4 linked regions of the Arabidopsis thaliana genome follow. The protein of the gene in region 2 interacts with the protein of the main gene of each other region in a pairwise test. Each region holds a gene or a part of one and is shown on either strand. Other genes may lie near its edges. The genes, in order: AT5G56100, AT5G55330, ARGOS and RK3.

The links.
Region 1: the proteins of AT5G55330 (region 2) and AT5G56100 interact in a protein complementation assay, tested with the Arabidopsis thaliana proteins (one large-scale study listed by BioGRID).
Region 3: the proteins of AT5G55330 (region 2) and ARGOS interact in a protein complementation assay, tested with the Arabidopsis thaliana proteins (one large-scale study listed by BioGRID).
Region 4: the proteins of AT5G55330 (region 2) and RK3 interact in a protein complementation assay, tested with the Arabidopsis thaliana proteins (one large-scale study listed by BioGRID).

What each region holds. Positions count from the first base shown.
Region 1 is NC_003076.8:22,715,188-22,718,375, reverse strand, and holds AT5G56100 (glycine-rich protein / oleosin), read right to left. Parts: upstream 1,460-3,188; 5' UTR 1,256-1,459; coding exon 803-1,255; 3' UTR 527-802; downstream 1-526. Other genes in the region: COX15 (cytochrome c oxidase 15), read right to left, coding at 1,771-1,947, 2,027-2,158, 2,234-2,344, 2,438-2,683, 2,776-3,001, 3,117-3,188.
Region 2 is NC_003076.8:22,436,912-22,440,799, forward strand, and holds AT5G55330 (MBOAT (membrane bound O-acyl transferase) family protein), read right to left. Parts: upstream 1,974-3,888; 5' UTR 1,955-1,973; coding exon 914-1,954; 3' UTR 560-913; downstream 1-559. Other genes in the region: AT5G55340 (MBOAT (membrane bound O-acyl transferase) family protein), read right to left, coding at 3,074-3,888. UniProt on the Arabidopsis thaliana protein: Catalyzes the final step in the synthesis of long-chain linear esters (waxes).
Region 3 is NC_003074.8:22,127,708-22,131,032, reverse strand, and holds ARGOS (auxin-regulated gene involved in organ size), read right to left. Parts: upstream 1,529-3,325; 5' UTR 993-1,528; coding exon 600-992; 3' UTR 561-599; downstream 1-560. Other genes in the region: AT3G59910 (Ankyrin repeat family protein), read left to right, coding at 1-254. UniProt on the Arabidopsis thaliana protein: Promotes cell proliferation-dependent organ growth. Takes part in the AXR1-dependent auxin signaling pathway that requires ANT during organogenesis.
Region 4 is NC_003075.7:11,388,303-11,394,790, forward strand, and holds RK3 (receptor kinase 3), read right to left. Parts: upstream 4,925-6,488; 5' UTR 4,789-4,924; coding exon 3,492-4,788; intron 2,611-3,491; coding exon 2,476-2,610; intron 2,387-2,475; coding exon 2,193-2,386; intron 2,115-2,192; coding exon 1,904-2,114; coding exon of another isoform or gene 1,899-1,903; exon of another isoform or gene 1,813-1,898; coding exon 1,575-1,812; intron 1,479-1,574; coding exon 1,328-1,478; intron 1,244-1,327; coding exon 917-1,243; 3' UTR 525-916; downstream 1-524. Other genes in the region: B120 (S-locus lectin protein kinase family protein), read right to left, coding at 6,156-6,473. UniProt on the Arabidopsis thaliana protein: Involved in the regulation of cellular expansion and differentiation.

The sequences.
Region 1 (3,188 bases), 280 kb from region 2:
AACAAGTAGTGGTAAATCCACATTATTACAAACTTGAATATCGATCAAAATGTAAATATATAGTAATATTTATGGAATAGATATAGTAGTATACTTTTGAATTTGAAAATTAGATGAGAGACACTTATAAAATTCTTAGACTTCTAATTCAAAATCAATTGATAATTAATACATTATACTTTACAGACATATATGTATTTATCTTGTTAACATTGGAAAATTAGTTTCAGTTTCTCTGTAATAGTTATCTAAGGCTTTTTATTTTTTTTTGGCCATAGAAGCTCCTTGCCCCCAGCTTTGTAAATAACCTCTTTCCTTTTGGTAATATAATTCACATTTTATCAAAAAAAAAAAAAAAAAATTGGAAAACTATGTTTTCGATAATATGGATAATAATCCGGATAATGTGGATTTGGATAATTCAAACAATTCAGATAGACATGGTGATTGTACTTCGGATAATCCATCCCCCACAACTTGTGATTAATTTTATCTTTGAAAATTATTATATCAATTAAACTTAACAATCTGTTTTGACCTAAAGAAACTTACAATTTATTTATTCTATTATTTTTGGTTTTCATCTGTTTGCTATTTGTCTTGACTTGGGAAAAAACACAACTTGAAAAAAATGATATAGCATTACTAGATTTTCTTTGGATAGATATTACAAATTTTCACTCTCGAAAAAATCTACTTAATTTTGTTTTCTTATCATAGCCATGTCTCTGTTTTTTTTTGTTTCTTTATTCACCATCTTCTTGAAATTCCCATGAATCATGAGACTTTTTCCAAGTTTGAACTAAGAAGAAGAGTAATCCCGAGAAGAAGGAGAAGAAGTTGAATAACTATCCTCTGATTTGTCTCGCAAGTAACGACTCCGACCGTAACCTAATTCTCTCACCACCGACTCAACCATCCTCCCAGCCAGTCCGGTTTCAATACCAATCTCTCGGCCACAACATACCAAAGCGGCTATTCCCATCATCCACATGGCTGCAGCTACCCCAACACCAACCATAGCCGACACAAGAACCGCTACCGTTACCATAAAAGCTGGAGCAAATATCAGCAGCAATGGAGAAGCGATCAGAAACAGAGTCACCGTCGCCACAAAGCTGAAACTCATCAGACCAAAAAGCGGTCCTACCACTGCAACAGCTGCTACGGTTGCAGCCACAACCGAAGAACCGGTCGTTCTTTCTCCATCGGTTATGGCTATGTCTCTTCTTCTCCTTCCTCCAGGATTCTCCATAGTAGTAGTGTGAAGTTGAACAAAGAATTTTGTACCATGGCTATATAGAAAGGAAGATGGTAGGCTACTGACACGTGGATACCGATAAGCTACAGTATTACGACACGTGGATAGTCTTGTATATCCAAAACGCCAAAAAACTGTCTCGAAACATTATCCACAACCACAAGGCTTACGGATTTGAACCGGACTGAATTAACCGAATCGTATCTAAACTAAAACCGAACTAAAATTTACCACTGAACCAAATTGGTATAAGAAATTATTGACTCTAAAACTAGAATTATCCAATGATTTTCTATTGGCAATGAAACAAACAACACGAAGCTATCAATGAAAGTTATCAGAGTTCTGGGATTCATATGAAACTTTTGTTAATTGTTTTTGTACTTTATTTTTCGAACCATACAACATCATTGACACAAGATTCGATGAAAGCTTGCTAGTAGCATAGTGAGCCAAAGAATTGTTTTTTTAGTAAATAATGAAAAAGGAAAGATTTTGGTGAAGAGGGCTTAGCTGAAATTTGATTTAGCAACTTGTGGAAGAGATTTGAGAAGAGAAGGTGATGGCCTCCGAAGAGTGTGATTGAGAAGTAGCATCAAAGTGAGAAGTGTTAAAGCTCCTGCTTGGTGTGCACTTCCTAGTGAAACCGGAACATAACTCAGAAGCGTTGATACACCTAATGTCACCTGCAAAATACAAAAAGGGAAACCTTATCAATGGTTTTGATTTTAGGTTTCCATTAAAGTTTATGATGATTGATTTTACCTGAACAGCAGTCATTCCAACAGTACTTCCGATCAAAGCTTTAACAGCTGGATGTATGTCTAGCTTCCTTGTGAACCACCACATTGTTCCGATTGCGATTAATGTTGTGGTTGCCAGAAGGCGATGATCAAGCTGAAATTTAAGTAATTTTTCAGTCTTTTTGAGATTCTTGAAGCAAATTGAGAAAGCTTTGTGTCAATGGTGTACCTGAACAGTTGCTGTGTTCTCGAAAAAGTTGCGTAAAAGTGGTTTCATCTCAAATATATTATCTGGGATCCATGTGTCACCCATTTTGGGAAATGTGTTGAATGCACGACCCTAAAATTCACAAACAGAGAGATCAATATACTAAGCTTCCTTTCTGTAACTAATATAATAGAAGCTTAGATCCAACTTTGTTAGTTTACTTACAGCATCATTTCCAGCAACAAATGCTCCTGAAATTGCAGTGATACCAACAATCAAGCTTACTGGTAATGCAAGCTTCTTCACTTTAGCTGCTCCGCGAACCCAAGCCAGTGACTCAGCTGGTGGTTCAGGCATAACAACAGAGAGAGCGGTCCAGAAAAGTCCACAATAAATGGCAAAAGCTGAGGTCAGGTGAGCTGCAAGACGGTATGGGCTTACCCTCGGTTGAGAATACTCAGACGGTGGCTCCTACAAGACCAAACTGATTACTGGTTGGTTACACAATATTCAGCACATAACAACATCTAATAAGAGGATCTACCACACTTCCTAATGCTTACCTCTAAACCACTTTTAACCATCCACCAACCAATGAAACCTTGTCCAGCACCAAGCGCAAATAAACCAGAGAGCTGAACTCCAAGACGTAGAGTAATATACCCTTTACGCAGAAAATAAGAAAACGGCAAAGCAAACATGATTCCCAATCCTCTTCCCCACATTCGATGAGCATACTCCATCCAATATATGAACTTAAAATCTTCAAGGTTCATCCCTTTGTTCACACTACAAAACACCAAATCCCAAAACACAAACAGCATTTTCAAGATCAAGACTTCGTCCAAATACAGAAAACGCAAATGCAAGCAACAGCTTTAGCTACCAAAATCGAAACACTAACCGCTTATATTCAGGTGACTGCTTATATTTCTCAAACTCCTTAGCCCAAGCTTCATCTGACAGAGGAGGGAAT
Region 2 (3,888 bases):
GTAACCAAAAGCGTGCCAACAGCCAACTAATTAATATTCAAAGTAAAGAAGAAAAATAAAAAGAAAGTGAGAAATTGTCAAAGAGTTTATGGTTCATGTTTAGTTGAGACTATCGGTGTAAGGTGGTAGTTCTCCGTATGGGAGAATTCACATGGTTCAACTTCAAGTCAAGTTTAACACTAGACCAGTATACCTAACTGTCCAAAAATATTAATCACCGATTTATTTCATCAAATTATTATAAAGTTATATTTTTAGTATAGACAAATATATGAGGAATTTTCATGAAATACCCCTTTTGAATCTTAGATGTACCAATTTTCGAAAAATACTATTATTCAAAAAGACTACTACTCTACCGGAATATTTTTAGTAAATTTGCCATATTTTTCAGGTTTCTTTATTTTTAGGATAGATGAAAAATGAAGTTTTGTCTTCAACACCTATTAATTTATTTGTAAGATAGTTTAGCGAAAACAAAACAACTTTGATAAATAAACATGTAAATTTTATTAAGGGGAAATTGGAAATAAAAGATAAATATTTAAAAAAATTTCCATCTATACATTTTATGATCAAGATTGGTGACATATGCGTTTAATATAATTTAAATCCCACTATATCTCCAGCTTTTTTATGCTTACAAAATACAAAACAAAAAGTCCAAACCAATTTATTTTTACTTGGAGCAAATCAATATTCTTTTACTTGGAGTCGTCGTTCATCACTTCTTCGATATTGTCTTCCTCTATTCTTCACAAAAATTAAGCTGTTCACTCCTCTCAAATAACTCCAAAACAAAACTCTTTTTTTTTCAATTTATCTTTCTTTATTTCCCTCGCTTCAATTTCTCTTAGAATCTTACCATCTCTTTCTTTAAATATTTATCCTTTGTTTCCAATTTTCCCATTTATTAAAGACTCGTAAACAACCCTAAGAGGATATATAACTTACGATTAAAGAAATCAATTAGAAACAAGTCTTCATTGATGAACCTCTCCATCAAGCCGTGCCTAATAGGCTGGGGGGAAAATAGCCAAACACCAGTCACAAACACAAACCCCACCGTAAGCAGTCTCGACACTGCCGGATTCACCGGCCACCGCTGCACCAACTTCGTCTTCCTCTTCAGTGCCACTTCAGCCGCCATGCAAAACCCATGTAACACAAAGAACCAAGTCACCTCCCATGTAGGCTTCTCACGTGTCAAATAGAAGTAGAGAATCTCGTGAGCCACACCAGAGACGAGGAACGTGGCGAAAATCGCGAAGAACCGATCCCACTCGGAGCTCTTGGCTCGCCATTGCCGTATGGGGTTGTACACTGCGAGCCAGAGAATCTTCGAGACCATGAGGTTCCATCGGTGACCCCAGAAGTCATGTAGAGAGGTGGCTAAGTATGGTTCGTTGAATTGTGGCTCGAGGTCACACCCAAGAGTGATACTGACGAGAAATTTTATCAAGGTTAAGGAAATCTCAAGCTCCAAGTATATATGCAGAGCATAGAGACCCAATAGAAAATTCGTAGATAGAAATTGTTTGTAATGATACGCTTGTAGTAACAAGGCACCAAAGATGAAAACTTTCAGGGCAAAAACCCATTTGGGGAAATGGTTAGTATTTTCAGGGTTAGGTTTTTTTTGAAGCTTGATGGGGAAGCAAGCAAAGCAGACGAAATGAGGGAGATTAGGAGGAAGTGGAAAAAGAGGACCTTTTTCTAATGCAAAGAGGATGAGTTTTGGAACTGCAAGACCTGAGAGGAAAAATGCAATAGTGAAAGAGGAATGAACAGTGGAGAAAAAGATAGGAATAATAAGAAACAAAACACAAACAGGAAGAACAGATAGTAATCGAAGAAGACTGGTTTTGATTTTGGGTGTTAAGTAGTAACAATAAGTTACTGAAATGATTGCAGAAACCCATACTTGGATGAATAACTTGAGTTCTTCCTCCATGGTTACTGGTTAAGTGATAATAAACCAAGAAACATAGGAAAAATGTTTACAGTTGTAGTATATAAGCGTGGGAGCAATTAATAAAGACAGTATGTTTGTTACACATTTAAGGGAAAAAACTATTGGCAGTTGTTGAGTAGTTAATGGCTCTGGAAAATCTATCAAATTAAGTACTTTCCTCTTTTATGATATAGTAATATAGTACTAGTAGTGTATGTAAAAATAAAAAAAAATAAGTATGACTACCGTTTATAGTTTTTCTTTTCAACGTCTTAAATATTGAATTTTTTTATGAAAAAGTTAGCAGAGCAGAGCATAATTAACACTCGTAAAAAACAGTGAAATAAAACTAAGGTTGTCGTTTCTCCTTAATGCGATTATGAAGCCATGCGGGACCTCCCGTTCTAAGTACGAGTTGAAACGCACCCATCTCTCGTAACACAACTACACAAGCAATATCAATATATCATAAAAATTCGTTTTCGCCTGGAACTAAAGAATTTGAATGATTCAAAACCTGCAATAAGTTGACGAATTCTACCGATGAGGGAGCAATGAAGCTTCTATTTCTTAAATAATTTGACAGCAGAGTAAACATTTTGACCTATGCTTGACGTTATATGGGAAATCCATATAGTTTTTTTCTTCCTCTCGCTAACGCTCTTTGGCGATCTTTCCTCCCAACTATGTTGTATTTAGATAATCTCTCTACAAAGGGTTCACGTGAACATGACACAAACAGTAGTCGAGGGAACAAAAATTGATCGATCGATAGGAAGTGTTGGTTTGGTTCCAAGTAACACTATTATTTCATTCTTTAGTTCCAAGTAAAAACAAATCGTCATGTACAACGAACTTGGAACTGAAGCAAGTCAGTTTTTTTAGGGTTTGATAAGAAAGAAAGAAACGGCATGAAGAGACCAAGAGACATGCTGGCAGCATCTTAAAGAGTTTCTACTAATTCCAACTTGCCGACATCTTCAACAAGACAAGTTCGATTCATTTCAAGATAAGTAGTTGACCATTATGGACTTTGATGCTCAACCGGACTCAATAACGTTAACTCGTGCTCATTTAACACTCGTTATAAAATATCCCCAACAACGTAAATAAAATAACTTATCGCTTAATGAACTCAACGAGCAACACAGCTTCAGATGTGAATCTCTCCATCACCCCGCTCCTTTTAAGCTGAGGTGTAAACAACCAACCACCAGTCACAAACACAAACCCCACCGTGAGAACCCGCGACACCCCCGGACTCAACCGCCACCGCTGTGCTACCGTCGTTTTCTTCTTCACCGCCAATTCTACAGCAGTACAAACGCCATGTAACACAAAGAACAGAGTAACTTCTCCTGTAGGCATCTCACGTATCAAATAGAAGAAGAGCAATTCGTGAACCAAACCGGAGACGATAAACGCTGCCAAAATCCCCGGAAACAGAGCCCAACCGGAACTCATTTTGCGTTCAGAGACTCGCCGCATTGGTGCGTAAACGGCTGGCCGGAGAATCGCCGGAACCATGAGATTCCACCGGCGACCCCAGAAGTCTTGTAGAGATGTGGCTAAGTACGGTTTATTGGACTGTGGCTCAAGATCGCAGCCAAGAGAGATAAAAACAACAACTTTAACAAACGTTAATATAATCTCAATCTCTAAGTAGAGATGCACAAAATAGAGACCTAATAGTATAGTCGGAGACAGATTTTGTCTGTAGCTATACAAATGTAATAGCACTGCAAAGATTGCAAGTTTAATGGCGAAAACCAATTTGGGCAAATGGTTTTGAGATTTAGGGTTTTGCTGAACCTTGATGGGGAAGCAAGTGAAGCAGAAGAATCGAGGGAAATTTGTTGGAATTGGGATTAAAGGACCTTTATCGAAGGAGAAGAGGATGAGTTTGAAATTAGCAAGCCATGTGAGGAAAAACG
Region 3 (3,325 bases), on a different chromosome or scaffold from region 2:
GAGTTTTGAAAAAAGGGGAGTCAGCGATATCCTTAAGAGACCTTCCTGCACCGCTAAGAGTAGCAATAGCGTACATGCCGCTGTACAGAGAGTGCATGAAAGCGGACGGTCGGTTACTGTCTCAGAGGCTAAGAGGACAGCTTGTAGAAGCAGTGAGACAGCTTCAAGGCTGTGCTGTTGCAGTTGTGGAAGTAAGCCAGACTCGTAACCTTATGGCGGTTTTGGAGCATCACCTTACCGCCATTTTCGATTGAAACAAATGGATTCTGCTTTTGGGCTTCACTGGTTTTCTAATTTCTACGAATAGTTGAAAATAAGCAAATAAATACTACGATTTAAATTAACGGATATTGGGATTTGGGTTTGAGATGACGAAGTGAGGTTTTTTTTTTTTTTTTGTATAATTTCTTCTTATGATGCTTCTATATTATGTCAGTCTCTTCTCCTCCATTTCTCTTATTGTGCGTTGAAGTATTCTCACATATATATATTATGATAATTTAATGTAATATTTATAACTTACATTTATATTGTATATCAATTTCATTGGATTAAGAACCCTAAGATTAATTAAGATCATCATATAATAAATTTCAGATTTACATGAAATTGCAAGTTACATCTGTATTAGCATTAGAATGAGAAGAAGGCATGAAGGCAAGAACGACGAGTAAAACCATAATCCCAATGGGAACCAATAGCAGCATAAACGGAGGCGGAGGTAACGGCGGCAAAACTAACGGAAGTATTAACAGAGATGCCGTTAGACCAACCAATAGGAACAGAGACTCTAAACTGAAATAATTCGCCGGGATCATCATCCTTTTCTGCGCCGAGAAACTCCGCCGTAACTCTTGCTTGCTTTTCTCCGGCGAACTTCGAAAGCTCATGTTTTTCCGGTTGTTTCTTCCGACGTCCATGACTCGGTTGTTCGAATAACTGTCTTGAATGTTTATAATATCTTTTTGTAAGTTTGAGATTTCTCGAATCATCTACAGAGGTTGTTTTGCTGTGTCTGGTTTGGATTTAGAAGATCAGTGACAAAATTTTGCTCAAAGATCTGATCTTTAGGGCAACTGGTTAACCAATGCAGCTTGATCGAAGCAATTGGTGAAGAATTCGAGACAAAATAAGGATGGCCCACGATTCAGAAACAGAGGATGCAGAACAAATCCGAGTTAACTCAACGATTCAGATGTAAAGGAAGAAGCTTTGAGGTGAAGGAGTTTGAGAAGCTTTGTGTATTGGTTTTGGTTGGATCAAGAAACTGTGTGAAACAAGTACTAGTAGGGAAATGAGGAAGACAAGTAGCAATGAAAGAGGAGAATTTATTAATAAAGGAGTTGGAGGAGAATCAGAAGATATGGGGGGAGAAAGAGAGAGAAGAGGGTTCAGTGAATTTAGGGATTTTCTGATATGTTGAAAAGACGAAAAAGAGGAACGTTTATTATATAAAGGGGCTGACAAATGTGAGGAGAAGCAAGTTGCTGAATTTGAAAGATTTGAATTTCGTGTGGCCTAGTCTTCCTCCACAATCACAAGGTTCTTCTCCCCTGGTCTTCTTTTCTCTTACTTTTTCTACCATTTCTTTTACTTATATAACATATGACGTAAGCTACAATCTCCTCTGATCTGAATATGTAAGTAGTATTTAAATAAATGAGTTTTAAAACCATCTTTTTACCATTCTATAAATTTTTAAGAAAATAATTTTCTAGTTTATTTTGAATCATCCAGTTATTAATATACAGGTTGATTTTTAAAATTTTATAATCAAATATTTGATGCGATGAGGAAATTATTTTTATTAACGTACCTACCAATAATTTTGTCGATGTTTATGGATAAATAAGGACCCATAGTGTTGTTCTTCTCGAAGCACTTCATATGGTGAATGCGCTTGTTCTACCAGGAAATGTTGGGCCAATATATGTATATGCTCTCATATTTCTATATATAAAGCCAAGTTAAATAGCTAGGAATGTTTTTCAAATTAATTCACGATGCTATTTTTATATATTTACGTGTATATGGAGATCGGACATAGTAACGTGACAACACGCTTTGCATGTGAAGTCTTGATGAGAGGATGGTTTTTAATAAAGCCAAGATGTTTATATCGCCAGAGGATGAATTCTCACAGAATGATGAATTAAAGCAAATAGACTTCGCTAGTAACTCAGTCGGAAATCACTTGTTACTTTTAATATATAAATATAGTTAATCCCATAAATATAATTCATGGTTCAATGAATTGAGAAACATATAGGCCATTTCCTTTAGAAACAACGTCAAGTGGTTTTATTAGTTTTTTTCCTGGCCTTTAGATACAAAAAAGCCGATGAGTAGTTTGGGAGAATTGATAGATTACCAATACTACAACACTAGTTATCCACATTAATTGTGCAGCATTACTTTAATTAGGCCAAATTAACAATATACGAAGACTGCAGCTTCAGATATTAAACTATTTGACGTGTACCAACAAAGTTTTTTGCATGGATGACAAACCCTAAATTAATAATTTAGAATGTTTATATCGAAAGATCCGCTAGTTTCTACTCCTACTCTACAGATACGAAAATCGTATATTTAGGGATGAGAAAATGGATCTCCTTGAATCGTTGACCAAAAAAAGGAAAGAAAATTGTCAAATGGATCTTCTCAGCATAAGCTCAACTAAAAAAATCAATTTATTTGTGTTTAGTGTTTGTCTCTACAATCAAGAGAATACTTTTACTAAAATATGGGTTCATAAAAATGTTCACTGAATGTATACACTAGTAACCAAAACTTATTTGGTGCGGTTTAAGATTTATTTTTTATTTAAATAAAAGTACTTCCTTTTAAGTTCTTTGGAAACAAAAGAATTAATCAGTTTAAAATTCAGTTCACTTGTGTGTTTGTTCTTGGATAGATATACAGTATTACGATTAAACATCTCTATTTGTACGTTTTTAATTAGTAATGGAATTTGTTTATTGAAGACTAGATGAGTAAATAATGGTGGAAAGTTAAGATGTAGGTGTGTATATATGGCAACCCATGCATGATTATTGCCTTGAACACCGCACACATTTAGATTGGTGTCCAGTGGACCTGTATCAAAAAGTTCAAGAAAAAAAAGTATTATCATAATATTATTCCCTCTGTCTTACTAATAAGTCAGTCATGTTTAAATATTGCTTCTTCTTGTTTTATATACCCTACTTCTAATTTAATTGATTTTCGACAGTCAATATGCATAGACATATGTTTTGGTCTAATTCTTAGACACTTGATGCATTACAATAATCTCAATAACAAGGTCCATATGCTCAGTTTC
Region 4 (6,488 bases), on a different chromosome or scaffold from region 2:
TCATCTCTCAAGAACCCGACCAAAAAAAATCATCTCTCAAGAAATTAATTATCTATGCTAAATATTCTAAATTTCTAAACTCTCATTTAAAATTTAAATTAGCAAGCATTCATGTCAATATTAATGTGCTCATAAATCACAATTCTGTATATCAACTATCATTATTAAAGGACGAGCTACTCATCAAAGGTTAATTAAGGAATTTTGACAGAACACTTTTGATGCATAAAAATCCTTATGATCTAAAACAATTTTAATCAAGCCTCTCCAAACATTGAAATTGCGAACACTTTTGATGCACAAAAATCCTTATGATCTAAAACAATTTTAATCAAGCCTCTACAAACATTGAAATCACCTTGAAATGAAGGAAAATTTGAAATCACCTTAAAATGAAGGAACCATGAAGGATTTACTCTGTCATCAGTTAAAAACAAAAAATCCACTATACCCCCATGATCTTCCTAAAGCCCATAAATTAAATCCACCGGATTTTGGCCATGGTTAGCGATGGAAATAGGTGTTGCTGATCATAAAAAATTCTTATAACGTATGTACTTATTAAAAAAAAAATCTATTACAACATGTACAAACCTAATCTCAAAACGTACAACCCGAAATTCTACTAACCAACAATATTTGCCTCTTCTAGTAGCCATAATTTATAATATGAAAGTCTGAGAATCTTTCAAAATATCACATTGATGTCCTATAACTGCAGGACTATTTGGGTTATCCATAAAGCAATTACAGAATACATGCTTAATTAAGACAATTGAATCATGTAGTAACCTTTGCAACGGAGACGTACAGAGAAAATACTATGCACATAACTAATACCATCTTTCCTAGTTGATTCTTATTGTCGCTCAATTTAGTCATCTTAGTATAGAAGATTGGCTAGTTGACAGTCACATTACCGAGCATCAAGGACCGAGACAGTAATTTGGTTCACTGTCCATGATTCATCGTCGCGCTGTTTACTCGACGAAGAATCAGTGTCAAGAAGACTTCTCTCCAGGCAATAACCGGGCGCTTTAGGTTGAGGAATAGTTGTTGATTCGCTTCCGAGCATCAAAATTACCAAGGACATAGTTGGTCTGTCCTCTGCACGTTCTTGAACACACAAGAGGCCAATTTGTATGCATCTTAAGATTTCATGTTGCCTGAATGTTGATGAAGAATCTGTGATGATTGGATCTATGATCTCTAGCCCTTTTCCTTCTTTCCAATTCCTCCACACCTGTGTATAATGATCGAAATTTTTCTAGTGTTATCATTATTTTGAGTGTAAAACAAGATCAAGTTTGAGAGGTTTTTAACTTACACAACCGAGAAGGTTAAGGTCACGGTCCGAATTGTAGAATCCTTTGTTCCTCTTGCTACTTATAATCTCAAGAAGCAAGACCCCAAAACTGAAAACATCTGACTTCATCGAGAATATCCCGTCCATTGCATATTCAGGAGACATATAACCGCTGAATAACGAAGATTAGACTCAAAGTTTTGAGTTATTTTTTTTTAATTCAGATTTCAAACAAAGATTTTTAATATTTTGGAGAATGATTGCTTACTAGGTTCCAACCACCTTCCTCGTATTAGCTTCTGTCTCATCCCGTCCAAAGATCCTAGCCATTCCGAAATCCGAGATCTTTGGAGTCATATATTTATCAAGCAAGATGTTACTTGCTTTCAAGTCTCTATGGATAATTCTAAACCGTGAATCTTGGTGAAGATATAGAAGTCCTCGAGCAATACCATTGATGATATCAAATCTCATTTGCCAATTTAGCTTAGAGTTTCGGGATTTGTCTGCTAATGAATCATCACTGGATTGAGTACATTATTTTTAAAGACATTGAAAAATTGTTAGAACAGAGTTGTAAGGAGTTGAGACACTAACCAAATAGATGAGAGTCGAGGCTTAGATTTTCCAAGTACTCGTAAATCAACATCTTCTCACCCGCATCGACGCAACATGCAAGAAGCCTAACAAGGTTTATGTGCTGAAGCCTTGCAATCAACTTTACCTCATTCTTGAACTCATCAGTCCCCTGAACTGATGTCTTTGATAGTCTCTTCACTGCCATTTCTTGACCATCAAGTAACTTTCCCTGTAACCCTTAATTTTGTTACACAACGAAATATTTGTCCAGCGATAGATTATGAATTAAGTTTTCAATCATTTTTACCTTATAAACTATACCAAAACCACCTTGTCCTAGCTTGTTGGCGTTAGAAAAATTGTTTGTGGCCATGGCAACTTCTTCAAACTCCATCAATGGCAATTCGAGATCGTCTGTATTGTTTTCTCTAGATATGTGTCTCCTACTTGATATTACAACTTCGTTCATTAGCAAATCTCGGCTTCTCAGTTGATGATCAACTGTTACATACAGACACCAAAAACAGTAAAGATATTAGTTTTAAGAAATTTACAAACAAAAAGAAAGGAATTAAAATTTACAGATATACCAATAGGTGTTTCGATTAGTATTGATCGCTTCTGCTTCCTTTTCCACAAGAAGAAGATAATGAAACTTAAAAGAAGCAAAACGCTCACTCCAATACTCGAACCTATGATTTTTGCACTTCTGTTTCTTTTGTCCTCTGAAATAATGAAAAGAGATGTCAAATTGAGCACAACATTTAGGACCTCGACCATGGAAATGAATATCATTTTATAAAACAAACTAGTATTAGTCTTATGATTTAACAAAATAATAAACATTGTCGTACTTTTGATTAAAGATAAACGCCAACAAACAAAAAACAGCGTTATACTGTTATCGCCAATAAAAACAAAACATAAAGATTGGTCTACCTAAAAATAATTTCTTTTGGCTTTGGATCTACCTTACCATATTATTCTTGAGATTGATAAGTTTTTGTGAAGAATATAGTAGTAATCAAAAGTTTCACTCATGCGTTGCATCTTTTAAGAAGATTAAAAGTCCATTGGACCTTAGTTCTTTATCACAAGAGTTTTCACATATAATGCCAAGACCGAATGCGTCAACATCTCAATCAAGTTTAAGAAGTTTGAAAAGAGGGAAAATAAAACTGAAAAACGTTTTGTTAAATTCCAAATTCGTTAACCAACAACAATATAACATTGACTTGCACTATTCAACACCATTCTCACATTCTACCCCAAAAAAAAAGTGCTTTATCTAACAACCAAGTTAATTACTATTCTTGAAACCCTTAAAAAACGTTTCTTCCTTTTGTCGTTTAAGAAAATCTTTAGTATAATGTGATAGGATTACTCAATAACTTGATTGGGCAGTTTTAGCATCAATTTTTAGTCTTACTGACAAAATCTTTTATGATGTCTTTTTAGTTTCTAGTATGTATAAAACTGTTTACATGTTTTGAAAAGTGATCTTGAAGACTATTATCAACCGTTACTTAGCAAAAGTAAATATGTGGAAAATGAAAACCAAACATATGTCATTTAGTCTAATAGAGATAGTGGAGAATGAACTAACCGAGATCAGTAGCAGCCAATCTAACGTAAAGATCTTGACCACCTTTGGCATAATTCCTGATATCAAAAAGCTCTCCGGTCCAAGTCACACAACCCGACCCGCTACCCCGGATATCCGTATTCGCAAACGCCGTGCAATTACAATCTCTTAAACACTTCTGTTCACATTCTTTCACACCAATTCCTCTGTCCACACTAGCCGTGGTAGTATCCGGCAATTTCATTTTCTTCAACCGCACAAACCCATCTCCGCCACCACAGCTCAGTAGCGTCTTCCTCACGCAACCATCCGACCCGTCTCTCAATCCCCACACTTGAGGATTCCTCGGCTTAAACCCTTTAATACAATTACAAACAGGTGAAGTGTTCGAGTCGCAATAACCGTAAACACCACACTCTTTGTACTCATCACATTGGTCTTTTGGTGCGTACCAGAATTGGTTCCAATTCTGTGCTGTCTCAATCCAAGTGAATCTTTGTAACAATCCTGAGGAGCTTATGCTTAATCTCGAGTAAACGTCGCTTTTAGTGATTCTAAATGAGTAAGTCACTTCTTCTTTACTCGTAGTGAAATTGAAAACCATGTATTCAAATGGTTGCATCTCCGGTACACCACTAAACCGGATTCCATTCCATGGACCACTCCGGTACATTCGTGATTCTCTGTTCCATAGAAAAATCTCAGGGAAGCCTTCGGTTTCGAGTTTGAACGAGAAATCTCCACTTGATGGATCATCTGGAGATTTCCATGATCTAATGAATCTGTTGAACCCGGTTTTGGCATCCCAGCCAAGTTTCATCTCCGGAAGTAAAGTATCTGTCGGAAAATCAAAACTCTGCCACAAAACTCCATCTGGAGCGCTGTTCTTGGAGTCTCTGAGCACAAAATTACCATTATCAAGAAGCTCTGCCACCAATGGAGATCTCACATCTCCTCCGGTCAGATTCGTCGACCAAACCGGTGTATCGGACTGATCCAAAACGACAAGATTACTGTCGGAGATTTTGAGAGTTCCGATGGAACTAGAGAGAGGAGTGTCTCTGTTTGCAACCCATACGTAGGTTCTCTTAGAGATTGCCTTGTACCAAATTCCAAGATACCAACGAGAATCTAAACCGGGTTTGAAGAAACCAAGCTCGAAGACATTACCAGGAGACACAATGGTGTTATTGCTTGAGATAGTTAGAGATTCTGAAGCCGACAAAGTGTTGGCAGAGATAGAGTAAGCAGGGAACAGAATTAAGAGGAAGAAGAAGAAGAAGGTGTAAGAATGGTAGAAATTTGGTAAACCTCTCATTTCTCTAAACCAAGTTTTTTGTTTTTCACTCTTTCTTGAGAAAAGTATGAGAGTTTATTTCCATTGGAGATATCGGACATGTTTTGTGTAATGTGTGAACCTTACGTAACCGATTTTATTTCTGTCAATAATATATTACCTTGCTTTTTTTCTTTTCTTGGTCTTCTTGTTCGCATTTGGAAAAAATATCTAGTTATGTACTATGTGTACAGTCCAATTCATAGTTGACCTAGCAAATAAAAAGTCTTCTTCTTCTTTTTTTTTGTCAGGCTTTCTTTCCTTTTCCAATAGTCATTTTTACTTCATAAATTCAGAATTTTTCTTCAAAATATGATATTATTGATGACCATTTTTTTTAATAAATTACTTAATATATTGCTTTTTCGTATTTTATTATCAGTCAACCTTTTGTATGCATGCTTCGAGAGTTATATAAATTTCAGTGTTCTTTTTCGTAATAAATAACTCAATTTTTTTTTTATCCTTCCCAATAAGAACTTCAATGTTAGTATTCATCAAACAAACCCTACTTTAATTTATTTCCGCATTCTCCGAAGACAAAAAAGAAAGGGGTCGTTTCACGTTTTCCTGACTTTTTCTTTTTTTCTCTAACTCTAAATAATTCATCATTCCATTCAATTTAATAATGAGTCTACATTTGAATTATTCATCACCAAATATAATGTTGTCCTATGCATTTTGTTTGACGATTTTTGGCTTTGGAGCTTGGAGGAGAGGAAAATTTATGTTAACACGGTTTTAGGTATATTATATAAGTATGAAATACGAAGACCGAATACTCTTTTCACCATCAAAACAGTACTAATTACCATAGTCAACGCTCCAAAAGTCTTATTTTTGAACATCCTCATAATTCTTCGTTCCTCGTTTGATTTATATATAATAACTCTATACATAAAAATCAATCACATTTTAATTAAATTAAACACAATAATCCTACAATATTTGAAACAACTCACCTATATTTAATAGAATGAAAAACAATTATTATGATCCTCATTTCAAAACTAACCTAAATATTTTAAGACTACCACCTTTGTTATAGTATAAACGATTTATTTGAAGATTTATTTCAGATAAATGCTTTTTGATATTTTATCTGTTTTCATTTGTTTATACTTGTAAATTGATCCATTGTGATATTTTTGAAAAAGAATAGTGTGGTGATTTTTTCAAAATATCAACATCATACTGTAATAAAACCCCATTTGTAATGTTTCACTTTATGAACAAAATTTCAAGTTTCAACAACCATTACTCCATTATCCTAATTAACCAAAAAATATTATACGTTTTCACAACAATTATATAAAAAAAAACTTTACAAAAGAACAAACAAAAGAATCTTATCGTCCAAGAACAACCGTTGAAGTGATCTCATTAGAAGAAACGATGTATTGTTGGCTCGAATCAAGAGCAAAGTTGACATCAATGGAGTTTCTTCTGGTGGAAGTAAACGTTGGTTGTCTAGGCGCAGCGAGCGTCGCTGTGTCACTCTCTAACATAAGCAAAACTGAAGCCATGTTGGGTCTCTCCGCAGCCGAATCTTGAACACATAGCATCGCTACGTGTATGCATCTCAAGGCCTCTCGCTTACTGCATGTGACCCTGATCTTAGGATCCACAAGCTCCTCTGATCTCCCATGAGTATACAAATACCAAGCCTGCAAGCATTCAGT